2 linked regions of the Caenorhabditis elegans genome follow. The protein of the gene in region 1 purifies or fractionates together with the protein of each later gene. This does not show direct contact. Each region holds a gene or a part of one and is shown in the gene's direction. Other genes may lie near its edges.

Region 1 (10,442 bases):
AAATTTTAATCCTAATCCCTGAAAAAAGTGTGGGAATTCACAAAAACTGTGCAAAATGATAAAGTTTTCGTGAGAAGACGAACGACCGCGACGCAACGAGACAGCAAAACCGCATGGAGAGTGCAGAGAAAACGACATTCGCTTCGAGACCCTTCATCTGCAGGCCACCAATGCGCCTTTGATCTCGTACTGTCTGCGTATCACTTTCTCATAGAATTCTAGCGAGAATGTGGGAAATTTGTGAAAAATCAGGGTAAATTGACAATAACATAAATATTTTCGCGGGAAAATTCGAAAAATTGCTGATTTGATATCAGGAGAAATCGAGAAGAACTGAAAAATCAGGAAAAAACCGGTTCACCTTCCACCGCCTGGCAGGACAATCCGATTTTACGATCTCGCGTTCGGTTTGACCGTTTTTTTCTCTGCGCTTCTCGTATTTTTTTTCCGAAGTTGATTGGCTTTTGTGTTTGTGACCATAAAGCTGCTTCCTTTCATATAACTGTATTGCTTGCGTCACCCCCGGTGGTTTGTGTTGCGAAACCGTTTTCCAGATGATTTCGCAAGATATCGGATGTCGTTGGCTATGTCTAATTATATTTGTTTGAATAGGGAATTTTGTTGCTTTGCCGAAAAATATGTGCTAAACGAACACTTTGTGTGTTGTGTTTTCGGAATAATCGCATTAATTCTAGAAAAGTCTATAAGGAAGATTATAATTATTTCGTGGTCAATAATAAATTGCTGATCTTCTTATAAAAAAGTATAAAATCATAGATTGATATCACTGTGAAAGAAAAATTCTTGAAAATTAGTTGAAAAAATAATAAAAAATTGCTTACTGTAAGCGCGCTCCAATGACAATTTTTGGCTGTAAGTGCGCTCCATTGACAACTTTTTGCGGCGGGAATTTTAATATTTGAATTTATTTCGAAAAAAAATATTATTTTCGAGCGATAAAGGTTAATTTTGTCAGGTTTTTATGCGAATTTTTCCCATTTTTCTAAAATTAAATTGAACTGGACCCTTTCTAAAGTTTTTTCTGTGAAAATAACGAAAAAGCACTCTGTAAATTCTTCAAATTGCTGCATTTTGTCTTTTAACAGTGTTTTTTTTTACCCAAAAATGCACTTTCCCACCCAAAATTCAACAATTTTAATCATATGCCTATGGAAATTTGACACCTATTCCTCCTCCTCCCTAAAAAACTTCCCAATTTCACCAGTCATCACGAGTTGCCGCGTTGTGTATTGAAATATTGGCTGACTCATTGTTTATTTTTTATTGATTTCTCATATTCTCTGCTCGCTCGCTTTTTTTGACACTTATCAACTGAAAAACCTTGCTGAAAATTCAGTTTTACTCTTTTTCTGGAATATTTTAAATTAAAAATTAACATTTTTTTCAGAGAAATGGCTCAGGTGAAAGCCGAGTATGATTTTCAAAGTCAACCAAACACAGGCGAACTGTCAATCTCGGCTGGCGAAGTTTTGACGGTTATTCGAGAGGTAAGAGGCTTTTTGAGCAGGTGGAACAGAGTTGTTCGAGGATTTTTTGAATCGTAAAATGAAACAATCGGCTAAATTAATTTTGAATTCCCGCGTGAATAAATCGGCGTTTTCCCGTTTTCTGGCGAAATTCATCTGTTTTTTCTTAATTTTTTGTTTAATTTTTGTTTTAAAACACTGATTATTCGTTTTTCAGGCATTTTTCCGAAGCGAAAACTCGATTCCTCGAACAAAATACGCAGAAACTTTAAATCTGGCCAAACGTTGATAATTTACATAATTTTGTCAAACAAAAAAAAACTGATAAATGGTGTAAATTCATTGGTTTTGTCAGATTTCCAGGCGTTTTTCCTGAAAATTTCTTATCAATATATGAAATTCCTGATTTTTAGGCCAATTTTCGTCCGGAGAACAAGTTTTCTCCGCGGAAAAATGTCTGAAAAACTGATAAATGGCGTTTTAATTCAAATATCTCTTTAAAAAAATAAGAAAAACGAAAGAATTTACCCAAAAATGGAAAAAAAATCACAAAAAGAATTTATTATTCGATCATTTCAGCCCATTTTTTTCTATAATTTAAAGCAAAATCAAGAGTTTTTATTTCAGAACATCGACGGAGGATGGATAGAAGGTCGAAACGTGCGTGGATCCGTCGGACTCTTTCCCGAATCCTACGTAACTCCCTATCAAGCTTCTCGTCCGCCACCGGTAACCCATTTGTCTTCTAGTTAACCCACTTTCTCATCTATTTCCGGTTTTGATTGTATTTTGTGTGTGTGTGTGTGTGTCTTCGTTGTGTGTCTTCGTTGTGTGCATTTCTGCGGGGAGCATCTAAATTGGTTGTGGTGAGCCAAAAGCATCAAAATGATTGAAATTGCCTTCTCATCAGCATTTTGAGCTGCTGGAACCCTCTAGAAATCGCTGAATCTGATGCTTGTTTCCGAAAAATATTCAAAACGGAGAGAAAGATGAGTAAAAGCCCATGAAATTTGAATAATAAAAAAGATGGTGGAAGAAGAACGCAACAAAGAGGAGTGAGATGAAGCGGAAGAGACTGGAACAAAATAGAAAAAAAAAGAAAGAAAAACTATTTTGAAATTGGTTTTTCCTCGGGTCCCTGGAGACGTTCGGATCCTCCTACTCACTTGAAGACGGCGGTCCAGATACTTGAAAACAAAATAAGTAGATTCTCAAAGAAGCTCTATATACCTGATTCGTCTTATATTCCACTCATTCTGCCAAGAGATTTCCTACTTTTTATCCGACTTTTCGATCTTTTCGCGAATGCTCTTCACATCGAGTCTTCGAAAGGCCGTTGAGAACTACCCAACACCACCGGGCGGCTCATCTGAAGATGCTCATCGGCAGCTTCTCGAACGTCGTCGCAAACAGATGCTTCGACGACACACGTGTAGTACACTCATCAAACAAGACACATCTGCTTCACCGCATAAGATGAAGCCACCTATTCTGATGGAGGAAGAGGATGAACAGCATTCCACTGGGAAGCACTCGTCTAGAAAGAGCAGTTTTAAGAAAAGTGGAGCAATATCGAAGAGTGTAGGGGTTTTGTGTAGAAGATAATCTTTTCGATTCTTTCCAAACCTCTCAGAAATTCCTCGAAATTCTGAGGCAAATTCATAGGTGCACGTGGTGTCAGAGTGTCTCATTTCGGTTTGACCTACGTAGATCTACAAAAAATGCGGGAGAAGAAACGCAGAGTTCTCCACTAATTTCGTATGGTTAAGAACGTGCTGACGTCACATATTTTTGGGCGAAAATGCCCGCATTTTTTGTAGATCAAACCGTAATGGGACAGCCTGGCACCACGTGTAGGTGCCAAACAGAGTAAATTTTGACAATTTGAAATTTACATTCGCTCACATGGTGCCAGGCCGTCCCATTACGGTCTGATCTACAAAAAAAATGCGGGAATTTTTTGCCCAACAATGTGACGTCAGCACGTTCTTTACAATTCAAAATCAGATGAGAACTCTGCGTCTCTTCTCCCGCATTTTTTTTGTAGATCAACGTAGATCAAACCGAAATGGGAAACTCTGACACCATGTGTTCGCTACCAAACTTAATGAGGTCGATCCTCAAATAGGACACCGCTGGAGACTCCACAAAAGCTCACAACAGATTTGTTTTGTTATTCTACAGTAATCCTACAGTACTCCTACCGTACCATATCACAAAATAGAGCTCTAGTAGTTGGTTACGGGTCTCACCACGCTGACAACAAGTTTCTGTTACTCGTGTCGATTTACAGTTGTCAGCGTGGCGAGACCCATTTTCTTGTGACGTATACGTAATAACTGTAGCTCCCAGAGTGCTCCATTCCGGCTTGATCTACGTTGATCTACAAAAAACGCGCGAATTGAGACGTAGAGTTATCCACTGATTTCGCACAGTACCATTTCGCTTTGATCTTCGAAAATGCGGGAGAAGAGACGCAGACATCTCATCTGATTTCGCATGGTTAAGAGCGTGCTGAAGTCACAATTTTTCTTGAAAAGTATCCCCGCATTTTTCGTAGATCAAACCGCAATGAGACAGCCTGACACCACGTGTGCACGGTTAAAAACGTGCTGACGTCACATTTTGTCGGGCAAAAAATCCCGCATTTTTTGTAGATCAATCCGTGATGGGACCACATGACACACAGATCCCATTTCAATTTTCTAACTTTTTAAACAATTTCATAAATACTCAAAAATTCCAGGTCCTACCACCACCACTCCCACCAACTTCAAGCGGTCCACCAGCTGCCTCATCGCGTCCTTTTGATGATTGGGGAGGCGCTTCAGAAGTTGCTGCTCCACCATCCTACGGAGCCCAACATCATCATCAGCCAACGCCATCTGTACCGGAAGTCACTAGATCTTCATATCCATCACAGAATGATGATTTTGACGATGAATGGACGGATGAGGATGATGAGCAGGTATTTTTAAAATTTTATTTTAATTTTTTGATTGTCCAGTTTCTGTCCGTCCTATTTATACCCTCTAACTCCTAAATCTATATATCCTAAAAGACCAAACGAAAAGTCCAAAAAGAATAGTCATCCTCCTCAAAAATCGCCGGGAAACGACATCGTTGTCGTCGCCGCCGCAACTTGGTTTCCGGTAGAAGTCGTCTCTCCACTCCGTCGCCGCTGGACCCTCTTCTCTTCGGACATTTCATTTCTAATCATTCGAAATTCTCTCTCTTCGTCGTCGGCTGCGACTATTTAAATGTCATCCAGATTTATTTGCTACTACTACAACAACTTCTGCTGCTGCTGAAATTTTCGCGAATGCTGTTTGCTCGTGGACGATCCTCGAGCTTTATCGCTCTAGATCATCTACAAGTTAATCAGTCGCCGTCGTTTCAAAATGTAAAGGACATTTTTATTTAACTGGGATTTTTTATTTAGAATTTTTTTAAGTTTATAGGTTTTATTAATTTTACTCCAACTAACTCTAGCATTCAAAGGTTTTTTCTTAATACACGTGAAGTCAGAAAGTCCCATTTCGCACTTTGATCTTCGAAAAATGCGGGAGGTGAGACGTAGACATTTCAACCAGGGGTGTGCGGCAAATTTGCCGAATTTGTCGAATTTGCCGTTTGCCGAGCTCGGCAAATTTCAAAAAAGTAGATTTGCCGAATTTGCCGAGCTCGGCAAATTTCGAAATTTGCCGCACACGTCAAAAATTTGACAGTACAATTTTGACTAAAACTATTGATTTTTTAGCCAAAAATTTAGTAAAATGATACAAAATTGAGCTATTTTGATGCTTAAACAGACATACTACGCGGAACTTATTCAGAAACCAGATGTGTGTTAAGAATTCAGTAGTTTTGGTGCTCCAAAAAACATAAAAAAAATATCAAATTTTTCCGAGTTTGTTAAGCACGGCGAGTTTGCCGAATTTGCCGAATTTGCCGAGCTCGGCAACTTTGCCGAATTTGCCGTGCTCGGCAAATATTGAAAAAAAGAGATTTTCCGAATTTGCCGAGCTCGGCAAATTTTGAGATTTGCCGCACACCCCTGATTTCAACTGATTTCGTTGATAGCGTGCTAACGTCGTAATTTTTCTGGGAGAAAATTCACGATTTTTTTGTAGATCAAACTGTATTGGGACACACCGCTCCACTGCAAATGAAAACTCTCCGCCCCCAATAAAATAGGTCTCGTTGGGTATTAAACGTGCTCAAAAAAATCATTAAAACAACGGAAAATTCTCAAAAATTGGCGAAACTGATACCTAACGCCAAATACACGGGGTGTCAGGCTGTCCCATAACGGTTTGATCTACAAGACGCGGGAATTTTTCGCCCAGAAAAATGCGACGTCAGCACGCTCTTAACCATACGAAATTTGCTGAAAAATCTGCGTCTAAATTCCCGCATTTTTTGTAGATCACGCCGAAGTGAGACACTTTGACACCAATACCTAACGAGACCTATGGTTCGGGGGCGGAGCACCTTTTCATGTCGGTTTCAAAATTAATACTACGCATACAATTAAAAAATCACCCTGAAAAACAAAAAAAAAACCCAAATTTTCTTCTCAAAAATAGGGATATCCCTTCTCAACTGCTCTTTGCAACACCCCGCGCTTTATATGTGCAAGCATCTCTCCTGATTGCTGCTATTGAGAATCCCCCAGCACTCTCCACCAGCTCATTTTTGCTCTGTCGCCACCCGACGCCTCTCGAAAACTATCATCATGTGTTGAGTCTTTTTTGGTGATCCTATTGGATATCCATACTCACATATATATATATATATGTATATATATATATATACATATATCCATATATATATATACATGCAAAAATGCGTCGACTGCGTCAATCGGACGCCGACGTCTTCTTCTATAACCGTCCTATTCCTATTACTGAAATTCGTGGATTTCATAGGGCGAGCGTCTCGTTCTCACCGTCGTGGGTTCGTTTTTAGATATTTTAGGGGAAACGTTCAGCGTTCTAGCACTTTTTGTAATCCGTTGATTAAGGAACACCGTCTGTCCGTCCATGATCAAGTTGTGAATTATCAAAACTCGATTCGTCATCATCATCATCGTGCAAGTGGGTCTCGAACGGATATGTCCACTGACGACGAGACGAGGAGTAGTCAGCAAGGTTATTAGAATAGTTCTTGTCGGCGAAGCATTCGGACATCTATTACACATTCGTTGGAAGGTTAGATATTGAAGAAGAGATGATGTTCCTCGCAACGAAAAAACGTGGAGCCACGTGGCTTCTCTGTTTCTCTCTTTTCGATCTCTCATTTCCCGCGAATGTGCAATTACAAGATTTTCAAAGCATAGTGGCTTTAACAACGCTCACACATCTCATTGCAGACGGTGCCTACCCCTCTAGCAAAAGAAACGGTAGTGTGGGCTCGTCTACCCGCTCCACGAGCACCAAAAAGCGCTTGAGTAGGCAAGATAGCACCGCCCGACGGAGACGTCTCAGTGAGGAGAGAGATAGTCGACGGAGAGTTGAGAAGTCGGTGAGCTCGTGTTTGAGCTCGAATCGGTCTCACCACGATCAGAATAAGGTTCGGGTTGTTCGATAAGTTGTTTCAAGTGGTGTCAGAAAGTCTCAATCAGGGCTGAGCAGTCGCCCAAAAAAATCGGCGATCGGCGATCGCCGATCGCCCAAACTTTTTTTTTTTCGGCGATCGGCGATCACCAATTTCCGAAAAATTTCGGCGATCGGCGATCACCAATTTCCGAAAAATTTCGGCGATCGCCGATTGCCGATCGCCGATCGGCTATTTTAACCGAGTTATTCGGTCAAAACACCTTTCCGTTTTTTTGTTTGGTAAGGAAATGCGACGAAAAATTAACATTTACTCAAAAAAAAAATTAAAAACAACAAAACAATCGTTTAAAAAAAACATGAGATTTTAAAAATCGAGATGAATTTATTGAAAAATTCCATCGGCGATCGGCGATCGCCGATCGCCGAAAAATCACGAAAATCGCCGATCACCGATCGCCGATTGCCGCTCACCCCTGGTCTCAATGCGGTCTGATCTACAAAAAATGCGGAAATTTTTCGCCCAAAAAAATTGTGACGTCAGCACACTCTTAACCATGCGAAATCAGATGTCTGCGTCTCACTTCCCGCATTTTTCGTAGATCAGAGCGAAGCGGGACTTTCTGACTCCACGTGTTGTTTGAGGCGTACGGGACTGCTCGTTGTTCTGATTGGCTTAAAGTATCAAGCTTCCTTAACTATTGAGGTTGTTATGTAACGCATGCATGTTTTCCTTATTTGTGTCCAAAAAGTTATAAAATAAAAAAAATCAAAAAATTCCGATTTCCAGGAACCAACTCGGCCCAACGTTCAATCCTCGATCGGCTCGAACTCCCGTCGTGACCTCAGCCGTAGCCACTCGGAACACGGTGGACCTGATCGAGGATCCAATAAGGTCAACAAGAACATCAATCGATTCTCGAATTTTGTAAAGTCCGGAGTCGAAGCGTACGTGATTGGTGAATCAAAGACCACCTCACAGATTAGTGAACGACATGAAGTTGTGATGAACAATGGAATTATTCAATGGAAACCGATTCAACAGTACTACACGTGTATAGTGGATAAACCGAAGAAAGAGTCAAAGCTGAAAGGGCTGAAGAGCTTCATCGCATATTCGATTACGTCGAGTTTGACTAATATTCAGGTAAATTTGTAGATTTCGACGCTTACTAACCGCTTGCTAGCGTCAGGTATCCCGTCGCTACAAGCATTTCGATTGGCTCCACGAGCAGCTATCGGCTAAATATGTGCTCATTCCGATTCCACCGTTGCCAGAGAAACAGGTCGCCGGAAGATACGAGGAGGATCTTATTGATCATCGGAAGCACATTCTTCAGTTATGGGTCAACAAGATTTGTAGGCATCCAGTGTTGAGTCAGTCGGAAGTTTGGCTCCACTTTATCAGTTGCACCGACGAAAAAGATTGGAAGAATGGGAAGCGGCGAGCTGAAAAGGATGAATACATTGGTGGAGCTTTCCTGAACTGTATCACTGTTCCACATCAACCATTGGATCCGAATAATGTGTAAGAAACTAATAGAATTCTACGCAGAAAGTTTGATAATCCTGCGTAATCCTACATGTTTCCAGCGATATGCAAGTTGAACGATTCCAACGGAGCGTCAAAACATCGGAAGAAGCGATGCGTGTGATGCAGGAGAGAATGAACATGTTCCAGAAGGTCTTCGCTGGACGTATGTTGGAAATTTTCGAGCTTTAAAAATTTAAATTAAAAAAATCAAATTTCAGCGGTAAAACAAAATTGGCAAAAGATGGGAAGCGCGTTCAAGACACTTCAGCAATCTTTTGAGATTGATGAGACCGTTGGTATGAATCTTTGGATTTTTAAAAGTTCTTGGATAAATTTAAAAATTCTAATTTTTCAGCCAGTCGCCGCCTGACAGAAGCTCTCGCCTACACTGCATCAGAATATCATGAAATTGGGCAAGTATTCGATGCGCACACGAAGAATGACATGGAACCAGTGCTTGAGAACCTTTATTCGTATAAGGGAACAGTGCAAAATGTGCCGGATATTATTCAAGTGCACAAGGTACTGAACAGAGGCCCTTATATCCTGAAGTGGAAGAGTTTTTGAGGGTTGGGAAACTCTGCCAGGACCGCGACGCAGCCGCGTGCGGAGCGGCTCGAATTAATGTTTATTTTAGACGTTTGCCAAGAATGCGTGATTTTCCTTCATTTTTTGGATTTTTTTTGCGTTTACATGGAGGTTGTCAAATTTTCGAATTATAACAAATCTAAAAATATTAAATTTTTAAGAAATAAATTGAAAATGTTCGTTTTTCCGTTTTTTCGAAAAATATCTTTAAATTTTAACAATTTCTTCTTTTTTTAAGGAAAAGTTTAAAAAATAAACAAAACTTGGTAAAAATAGATTTAAAAAACCTTTATTCTCTGAAAAAATCGAAAATTTTGAAGATTTAAATGAAAAATCACGCATTCTGGGCAAAAAATAAAATAAACTTTTCTCGATCGAGCCGCGCCGCTCGCACCTGCGTCGCGGTCATTAACCCCTCCCATTTCAAGATATGACAGAATCTGAAAGCCCGTGGCAAAAGCCTAAAAACATTCAAAACCCAACAATTTTCCAGCAAGCTGTTCAAAAGTTCCGTGACAGCGAAGGACGTCTCTCGTCGGCCGAGGCTGAAAAGATGAAGCAAAGAATCGATGCGATGAGCTACACTGTAATTGCTGAAGTTCAACATCAAACAGCAGAGAAAGTGGAGGATATGAAATCGACAATGGGCACATATTTGAAGAAACAAGCAATGTTTTATCAGGAAGTGGCGACCAAGCTGACTTCATTAGCCGCTAGATATGATTGATTTTTATTGATTTTTATTATTTGATTGCCTTTTTGTGTCAGAAATCGTTTTCCCCCCATAATTTCCCCCATCATTAAAATCGAGCTAGCTTCTTTTTTTTTGAGTCAAATTCCGAATGTTCATATATTTTCTTCCTACTTTCTAATCCATAATTTTTTGTGCAATTCTACTAAATTCCCGTGATTTCAACTCGCCACATTCTTTGTACCATATATGATGATTGCTTCGTTCACATTTGAAAAAAATCCCCTTTTTGAATATTTATTCGCCTGGTTTCCCCCGTTTTTCTAGTTGCATTATGAGTTGAAAAATCCTTTCAATTTTTTTTTTGAAAGTCTGAATGAATTGTGATGAATATGTACAAGCTAATTTTTTATGCAAAACATTTTAAAAAAACAAAATTAAATCCAAATATCCGATGTACAATCTCCACCGGGATAACGCATCTCGTGAGCCAAATAGGGACCTCCTTCAATTTTTCCAAAAAAAGAGATATACGTAAATCACGTTTAAAACTCAAATTTCGATGAAACTTAATATCAATTAAT
Region 2 (7,050 bases), on another chromosome or scaffold:
CACCTTTAATAAATACGACTTTTTTATTCATTTTTTTTCCTCAAAATTGAGCTTAAACCCACCCAAAATCCCCCCTAAAACTCCATTGGCTCATCGGCGGCTCTTTTTCTTTTCTCCGCATCGCCTAATTCTTCTTTTTCCTTCTTTCTCTTCTTATCCTTCTTCTTTTTCTTGTGTTTCTTCGGAAATCCTTTCTCCGTCTCATCATCATCAAATCCATATGCGTCGTATTGTTGCCGAACCCGTATTAAATTCAATTTCTCGCTGTACGCCAGATTTGGTTCCTCTTTTCGGCGCTCGAATAGGTGGCGATATCTGGAAAAATTTAATTTTAATTAATTAATCTTATTTTGTGGAATTTTTATCGATTTCGCGCAAAAAATGACAAAAAGAAGTTAAAAATGCCTCCCGTAAATCTACAAAATTAAAGGCGCATGGTCTCTTGCGCTGGTTGGGTCTCACAACGATCACTACAAAAATGCAAGAATTTGTCTGAAAAATAGCGGAAAAATTATTTAAAAGTTTAAAATGTTGGTGTTGACCTGTAAAATTGAATATTTAATCTTATTTTGTGGAATTTTCATCGATTTCGTGCAAAAATTGGACCAAAAACTATTAAAACCGTTGGGTCTCGCAGCGATTTCTACAAAAATAGGAGAATTAATTAAAAAATTTCGGACATTTGATTAAAACGTTCGAAATAGTGGCGATAAGCTTATTTTGTCGAAACTTCACCGTTTTCGTTCAAAAATTGGGCTAAAACTGTTAAAAAATTATTTCCGTAAATCTACAAAATTAAAGGCGCATGGTCTCTATTGATTGTTGAGTCTCGCAACGATCACTACAAAAATGCCAGAATTAATTCAAAAATTTGCGGAAATTGAATTAAAATGTTCGAAAGAGTGGCGCTGTGCTTATTCAGTTGAATTTCCACCGTTTTTGTGCAAAAATTGGCCTAAAACTATTTAAAATGCCACCAGTAAATCTACAAAAATTAAAGGTGCATGGTCCCTATCGTCCGTTGGGTCTCGCAGCGATTTCTACAAAAATGGGAGAAATGTTTAAAAATAGCGAAATTCCGCAATATTTTGCGGAAAACATCAAAATTAATGGGAAATTTCAATTTTAAATCAGAAAAATCTAGAACATCGTCGAATTTGCACCTTTCATCGACGGGCCCAGCAGAAAGCTTGAATCCCTGCATCGAAGAGCTCGTCAAATTCGAAATTTCCTTGTGAATCGGCGGTTTTTCGATGAGAGCTCGCAGTGAGCTCGCCTCTTTCGTCGCGTCCAAGTGAAATTCGCCGATTATATGCGGCAAAAACGAGGAGATTTTCTCCTTAACTCGTCTGCTACCACTGAATCCTCCCTCAACAGGCCCGAGCTCGTACGACATGAGAAGATCGTGATTTCCCTGAATTTCGCTGTACGCTGGAATAAAAAATTGGGTTTTGAGCAGATTTTTGAAGAAACTCACGTGGAAGTAGAGCTTTTAATGTGTAAAATGGCTCGTTTTTCGAGCTTTTGCTCTTTACGGGCGGCCCCGAGCAGGCCGATGGCTCGTTCATGCCTGAAATTGTAATTTTAAGCCGGGAGATTTTTAAAATTCAATTAATTTAATTGAAAGAGGGAAAATATTGAAAAAAAAGTGGGATTTTTCCAGCAAAATCCTAGAATTTGAGTGAAAAAGTAAGCTTTTTTTTGGTTTGAAGTTTGTTTTGAAACATTTTTGAGTCAATTTCGCCTAATTTTTGGGGTTTCAGCGGTAAAAAAAAACTTTTTTTTTCAGTTCTAAAGACTAAAAAAGTACAGATTTAGGCCTTTTTTTAAATTTTTTGTTTGAAACTAGATTCGAAACAAGTCATTTTTCGCAATATTCGGCTAATTTCAGTAGTTTCAGAGATTATAAGTCTGCAAAGTTGAAGATGACCACAGGGATTTCAAAAATATTCCAGAAAACTGGAATGTTTCTGGAAAAAAAAAATCGAAAAACTATATAAAAAGTGAAAAAAGGTCAGAAATTCGTTTTTTTTTTTAACTTTTCTTTTGCTTTAATTTGCGCGGGAATTCAAAAATAACTTGGAAAATGCAATATTTCGGAAAAAATTAGCCAGAAACATGAAAATTGGTGTAACGAACAAATTGTGGATAATTTTTGGTCAAAATAGTAAATTTTTAATAACAATAATTCATATTTTATCAACTTTATGCGAAAAATGTATCAAAAAACCAGATTCATCAACGATTTCTTTCAAAAAAACATTAAAAAACGTTTAAAATCGAGAAATTAAAATAAAAATAAAATAAATCCAAAAACGCGCAAAGGCTCCCCACTGACGCGTTTCCCCGATTTGCTTGCGCACTTTCCGTGGCCACTTTTATCCCTTTTTCTCTGTCCTTCTCTCTCCCTTTTCGGCAATATTTGGAGGTTTTGCGGGACGGAAATCTTTGCGCACACGGCAACTTATCGATTTTTCATTCTTTTCCGCCCAAAATTCTGCATCTCCGCCAACTTCTGCGGCTCCAATTTCCTTGAAACCTCGATTTTATTACGAAAATTTGAATTTTTACCCTTTTTCACATTTATCTTTCAGGGGTATCACAAGATGACCGACTCCAAATATTTCACCACCACAAAGAAAGGTATTTTTATATCGTTTTCAATGAATTTAACTCAAATTTCCAATTTTTATTGCAGGAGAAATATTCGAACTGAAAAATGAGCTCAACTCTGACAAAAAGGAGAAGAAAAAAGAGGCTGTGAAGAAGGTTATCGCCAGTATGACAGTCGGAAAAGACGTCAGCGCTCTATTTCCCGATGTGGTGAATTGTATGCAGACGGATAATGTTGAATTGAAGAAATTAGTCTATCTGTATTTGATGAATTACGCGAAATCGCAGCCTGATCTCGCGATTATGGCGGTTAACACGTTTGTTAAGGTAGGGGAGACAGCTTGAGAAGGTTCAAAAGTAGAAAATTGGCTCAAAAAGTTGTAAAAATTGCTCGAAAAGCTGAAAATTCGCTCAAAAAGCTGAAAATTTTGCTCAAACGCTGAAAATTTGCTCAAATGCTGAAAATTCGCTCCAAAAGCTGAAATTTTGCTTAAATATATAAGAAATTCGCCCAAAAGCTGCAAACACTCCCGCGCGAATTGTCTTTGTTTTTTCTCATTTAAAACTTGAAAATAAAATTATTTTAAATTTAAAAATACCATTATTATCCCAGACGTTTCAGATTTCCCGGCAAAATTCTCCGAATTTTCGTAAAACCGGGGAAAAATTATAAAAATGGCATTTTTCCGGGGAAAAGCAAGAACAAACCAGATTTTTTCAGCTTTTTTCGGTCGTTTTTCGGAAATTTTTAATAATTTTGCACTTTTTTCAGGACTGTGAAGATCCAAATCTTGAGAAAATAGTGGAAATTTTCCCCAAAAAGCTGTTAAATTTGCAGAGGAGCAACTTTTTATCACTTTTGAGAGGAAAATTACATTTTTTGCGGGTTTTTTCCTTCAGTTCATTTTTACTCAAAAAGCTGTTAAACTTGCTTAAAAACTGTAAAAATGCCCCGCGCGAATTTTTTTTTTGTTTTTTCTCGTTTAAAGCTTGAAAATAACATTTTTTAAATCAAAAATACCATAATTTTCCTCGAAAAATCATTAAAATGACAATTTTCCGGGAAAAAAACAGGAAAAAACCGATTTTTCAGCTTTTTTCGGTCATTTTTCGGAAATTTTCAATAATTTTCCTAATTTTTCAGGACTGTGAAGATCCGAATCCTCTAATCCGTGCACTTGCTGTCCGTACAATGGGATGTATTCGCGTTGAAAAGATCACCGAATACCTCTGTGATCCTCTCCGTCGATGTATGAAGGATGAGGATCCATACGTTCGAAAAACCGCCGCAGTCTGTGTTGCAAAGCTTCACGACATGAATCCGGCTCTTGTGAAGGAGCAGGGATTCGTTGAGTTGCTCAACGATCTACTCTCCGATGCCAATCCGATGGTTGTGGCGAATGCGGTTGCCGCGTTGACTGAAATGAATGAGCAACAGACTGTAATTGAAGTGAATAGTCAAATGGTTAATAAACTATTGACTGCGTTGAATGAGTGTACTGAATGGGGACAAGTATTCATTTTGGATGCTCTTGCAGGTAAAAATTCAGCAAAAAAGTGTTGAAAATCGTGGAAAAAAAGTGAAAAAATCGTAAAATTGAGCAATTTTTCACCTAAAAAACTTAAAAAAAGCTTTCAAGGTGTGTAGTCGAATTTTTTCAAATTGCCTTATTAGACTCAAAATTGTCTGAAAGCATCGAATTTTGTTAATGAAACTTCTCGATCGATTTTTTACACTTTAGAATTCCAGCTTCAAGAGATTAAAAAAAACCAGAAAACCTACATATAAATAAGATTTTTCGGTTTTCAAATTCTTTATCTGCCGATCCTGACGAATTTCGCATGAAAAAGCTAGAAAATTGTATTTTTTTTTCCTAGAAAACCCCAAATTTACAATAAAAACCTCTAATTTCAGATTTCAGAGGCGAAAACTCGAAATTGATATTCAAAATAGCTTCAAAACCGAGAAAAATCCAATAAAATAAATAATATAGTTCTGAAAAACGCTTTAATTTTAAAATTTCGAAGTAAAACATTTTTTTTCTTCCTAGAAAATTAGAAAAAATCTGCAAAAATTTAATTTTCTGATAGTTTTTTTTTTGAGAAAAATTGAAAATTTGCAGTTGGAAAAAAAAAGAAAATTGAAATCCAGAGAAAAATCTGAAAACAAATCGAAATTTTATAGTTTTTAACAGAAAAAAAATCGATTTTTTACACTTTAAAATTATAGCTTGAAGAGATTTCTAAAAAACGAGAAAATTCAATTATTAGCTTACATTTTCTATTAAATACAAAATTTAGATTTTTCGGTTTTCAAATTCTTTTGCTGCCGATCCTGACGAATTTCGCATGAAAAATCTTGAAAATTGTATTTTTTTTCTAAGAAAACCCCAAATTTGCAACAAAAACCGCTACTTTCGAATTTCAGCGGCGAAAAGTCTTTATTTTTCCGAAACTGATAGTGAAAATAGGTTTAAAAAGCACAGCAAAACGTTTTAATTTTGATATTTCAAAGTATTTCTATGACAAAAAATTCCAGAAACTTTATGAAAATTCTGATCTGATACTCAGTTTTAGTAATATAAGCCGGTTTTTTCCTCAAAAAACCAAAAGTTGAAAAAAAATTCCATTAAAAACTTAGACCTGAAAAATAAAAAATTCTAGAGAAATTTCTAATTTTTTGCTCAATTTGCAAAAAAAAAAACTCCAAAAAATCTTAAATTCCAGGCTACATATTTCCACCATTTTTTTTTGGTTTTTTCTCTCGAAATTCTAGTTCTTCATCATTTTTTCTATTATAGAGACGCAGAAAAATGCGTATTTTTGAAATTGATGTGTGCAAGTGCGCTCCACGGCCAACTGTTAGGTCTCGTTAGGCATTTGGCGGCAAAACGCTAAATTTTTTGTAAAATTCGGCTCAAACATCTGTAAAAACAATTTTTTCCAAAAAATGAAGAAAAATCTGCAAAAATTTCATTTTCTGATGGATTTTTGAGAAAAATCGCAAATTTATAATTTTTTTTTTCAGGAAAATTGAAAACTCCCGAGCTTCTACTAGGAAAAATCTAAATCGCGCTTGCATGAAAATTGTAGGAAATTTGCAAATTTTCGATTTTCCAAAAAATCCTAAATTTCAGGCTAAAACAATTTTTAAAAATGCAAATTAATTTCAAATAATCAAATTCTTTAAAAAAAATCGTTTTTTTTTTCGATATTTTTGGTTTTTAGCTTCGAAATTCCAGCCATTTTTGCTCAATTTTCCATAAAATCTTAAATTCCAAGTTGAAAAACTTGAAAAAAAAAGAATTAATTTAAAATAATTAAATTCTTTTAAAAAAATCGTTTTTTTTTCGATTTTTCCGATTTTTAACATTGAATTCCCGCCTTTTTGCTCAATTTTCCAAAAAAAAAATCTAAAATTCCAGGCTAAAAAAATTAAAAAATGCAAATTAATTTCAAAAAATAAAATTCGAGAAAAAACGTTTTTTTGTTAAATTTTTTTAAAAAGATTTTTCAAAATTTTTAACATCGAAACTCCCGCGTTTTTGCTCAATTTTCCATAAAATTTTTAAATTCAAGCTAAGAAAGTTAAAAAAAAGCGTTTTTTTTTGTTGATTTTTTCCGGCTTTTTTCCAAAAAAAAAAATCTAAAATTCCAGGCTACACCCCACGAGACGAACGTGAAACTCAAAACATTTGTGAGCGAATCTCTCCCCGTCTGGCTCACGCCAACGCCGCCGTCGTTCTCTCCACCGTAAAAGTGCTCATGAAGCTGATCGACATGATGCCAGCAGATTCGGACTTTATCACCCAACTCACGAAGAAGCTCGCACCACCAATGGTTACCCTGCTCTCGGCGGAGCCCGAAATTCAATATGTCGCACTGCGAAACATCAATTTGATCGTTCAAAAACGCCCCGACATTTTGAAACAAGAAATGAAGGTGTTCTTTGTGAAATATAATGATCCGATTTATGTGAAAATGGAGAAGCTGGATATTATGATTCGACTGGCTCAACAGAATAATATCGCTCAAGTGCTCAGTGAGCTCAAGGAATATGCCACCGAGGTTGATGTGGATTTTGTTCGGAAATCTGTTAGAGCAATTGGAAGATGTGCTATTAAAGTTGAAGCTAGTAGTGAGCGATGTGTTCAGACCCTGCTGGAGCTCATTCAGACAAAAGTCAACTATGTTGTACAAGAAGCCGTCGTTGTGATTAAGGATATCTTTAGAAAATATCCGAATAGATATGAGAGTATTATTTCTGCACTCTGTGAGAATCTGGACACGCTGGATGAGCCTGAAGCCCGGGCTTCAATGATTTGGATTATTGGAGAATATGCTGAGAGAATTGATAATGCTGATGAGCTCCTCGAGAGTTTTGTTGAAGGATTCCATGATGAGAATACTCAGGTTCAACTGCAACTTCTCACCGCT

The links.
Region 2: the proteins of lst-4 (region 1) and apb-1 purify together in Caenorhabditis elegans (affinity purification with western blotting, with the first as the bait; one study listed by BioGRID). This does not show direct contact.

Annotation. Positions count from the first base shown.
Region 1 is NC_003282.8:14,060,821-14,071,262, reverse strand, and holds lst-4 (Sorting nexin lst-4), read left to right. Parts: upstream 1-2,792; coding exon 2,793-3,068; intron 3,069-4,233; coding exon 4,234-4,455; coding exon of another isoform or gene 4,456-4,530; intron 4,531-6,600; exon of another isoform or gene 6,601-6,603; coding exon of another isoform or gene 6,604-6,640; intron 6,641-6,861; coding exon of another isoform or gene 6,862-7,061; intron 7,062-7,835; coding exon 7,836-8,192; intron 8,193-8,232; coding exon 8,233-8,573; intron 8,574-8,638; coding exon 8,639-8,742; intron 8,743-8,797; coding exon 8,798-8,875; intron 8,876-8,934; coding exon 8,935-9,101; intron 9,102-9,660; coding exon 9,661-9,894; 3' UTR 9,895-10,258; downstream 10,259-10,442. UniProt on the Caenorhabditis elegans protein: Involved in the signaling of vulval development by acting as a negative regulator of epidermal growth factor receptor (EGFR) signaling. Aids in phagosomal membrane tubule formation which is required for phagosomal fusion with endosomes and lysosomes.
Region 2 is NC_003281.10:2,592,579-2,599,628, reverse strand, and holds the start of apb-1 (AP complex subunit beta), read left to right. Parts: upstream 1-2,594; 5' UTR 2,595-2,606; coding exon 2,607-2,643; intron 2,644-2,698; coding exon 2,699-2,940; intron 2,941-3,757; coding exon 3,758-4,151; intron 4,152-6,271; coding exon 6,272-7,050. Other genes in the region: mdt-19 (Mediator of RNA polymerase II transcription subunit 19), read right to left, coding at 75-315, 1,164-1,431, 1,478-1,568.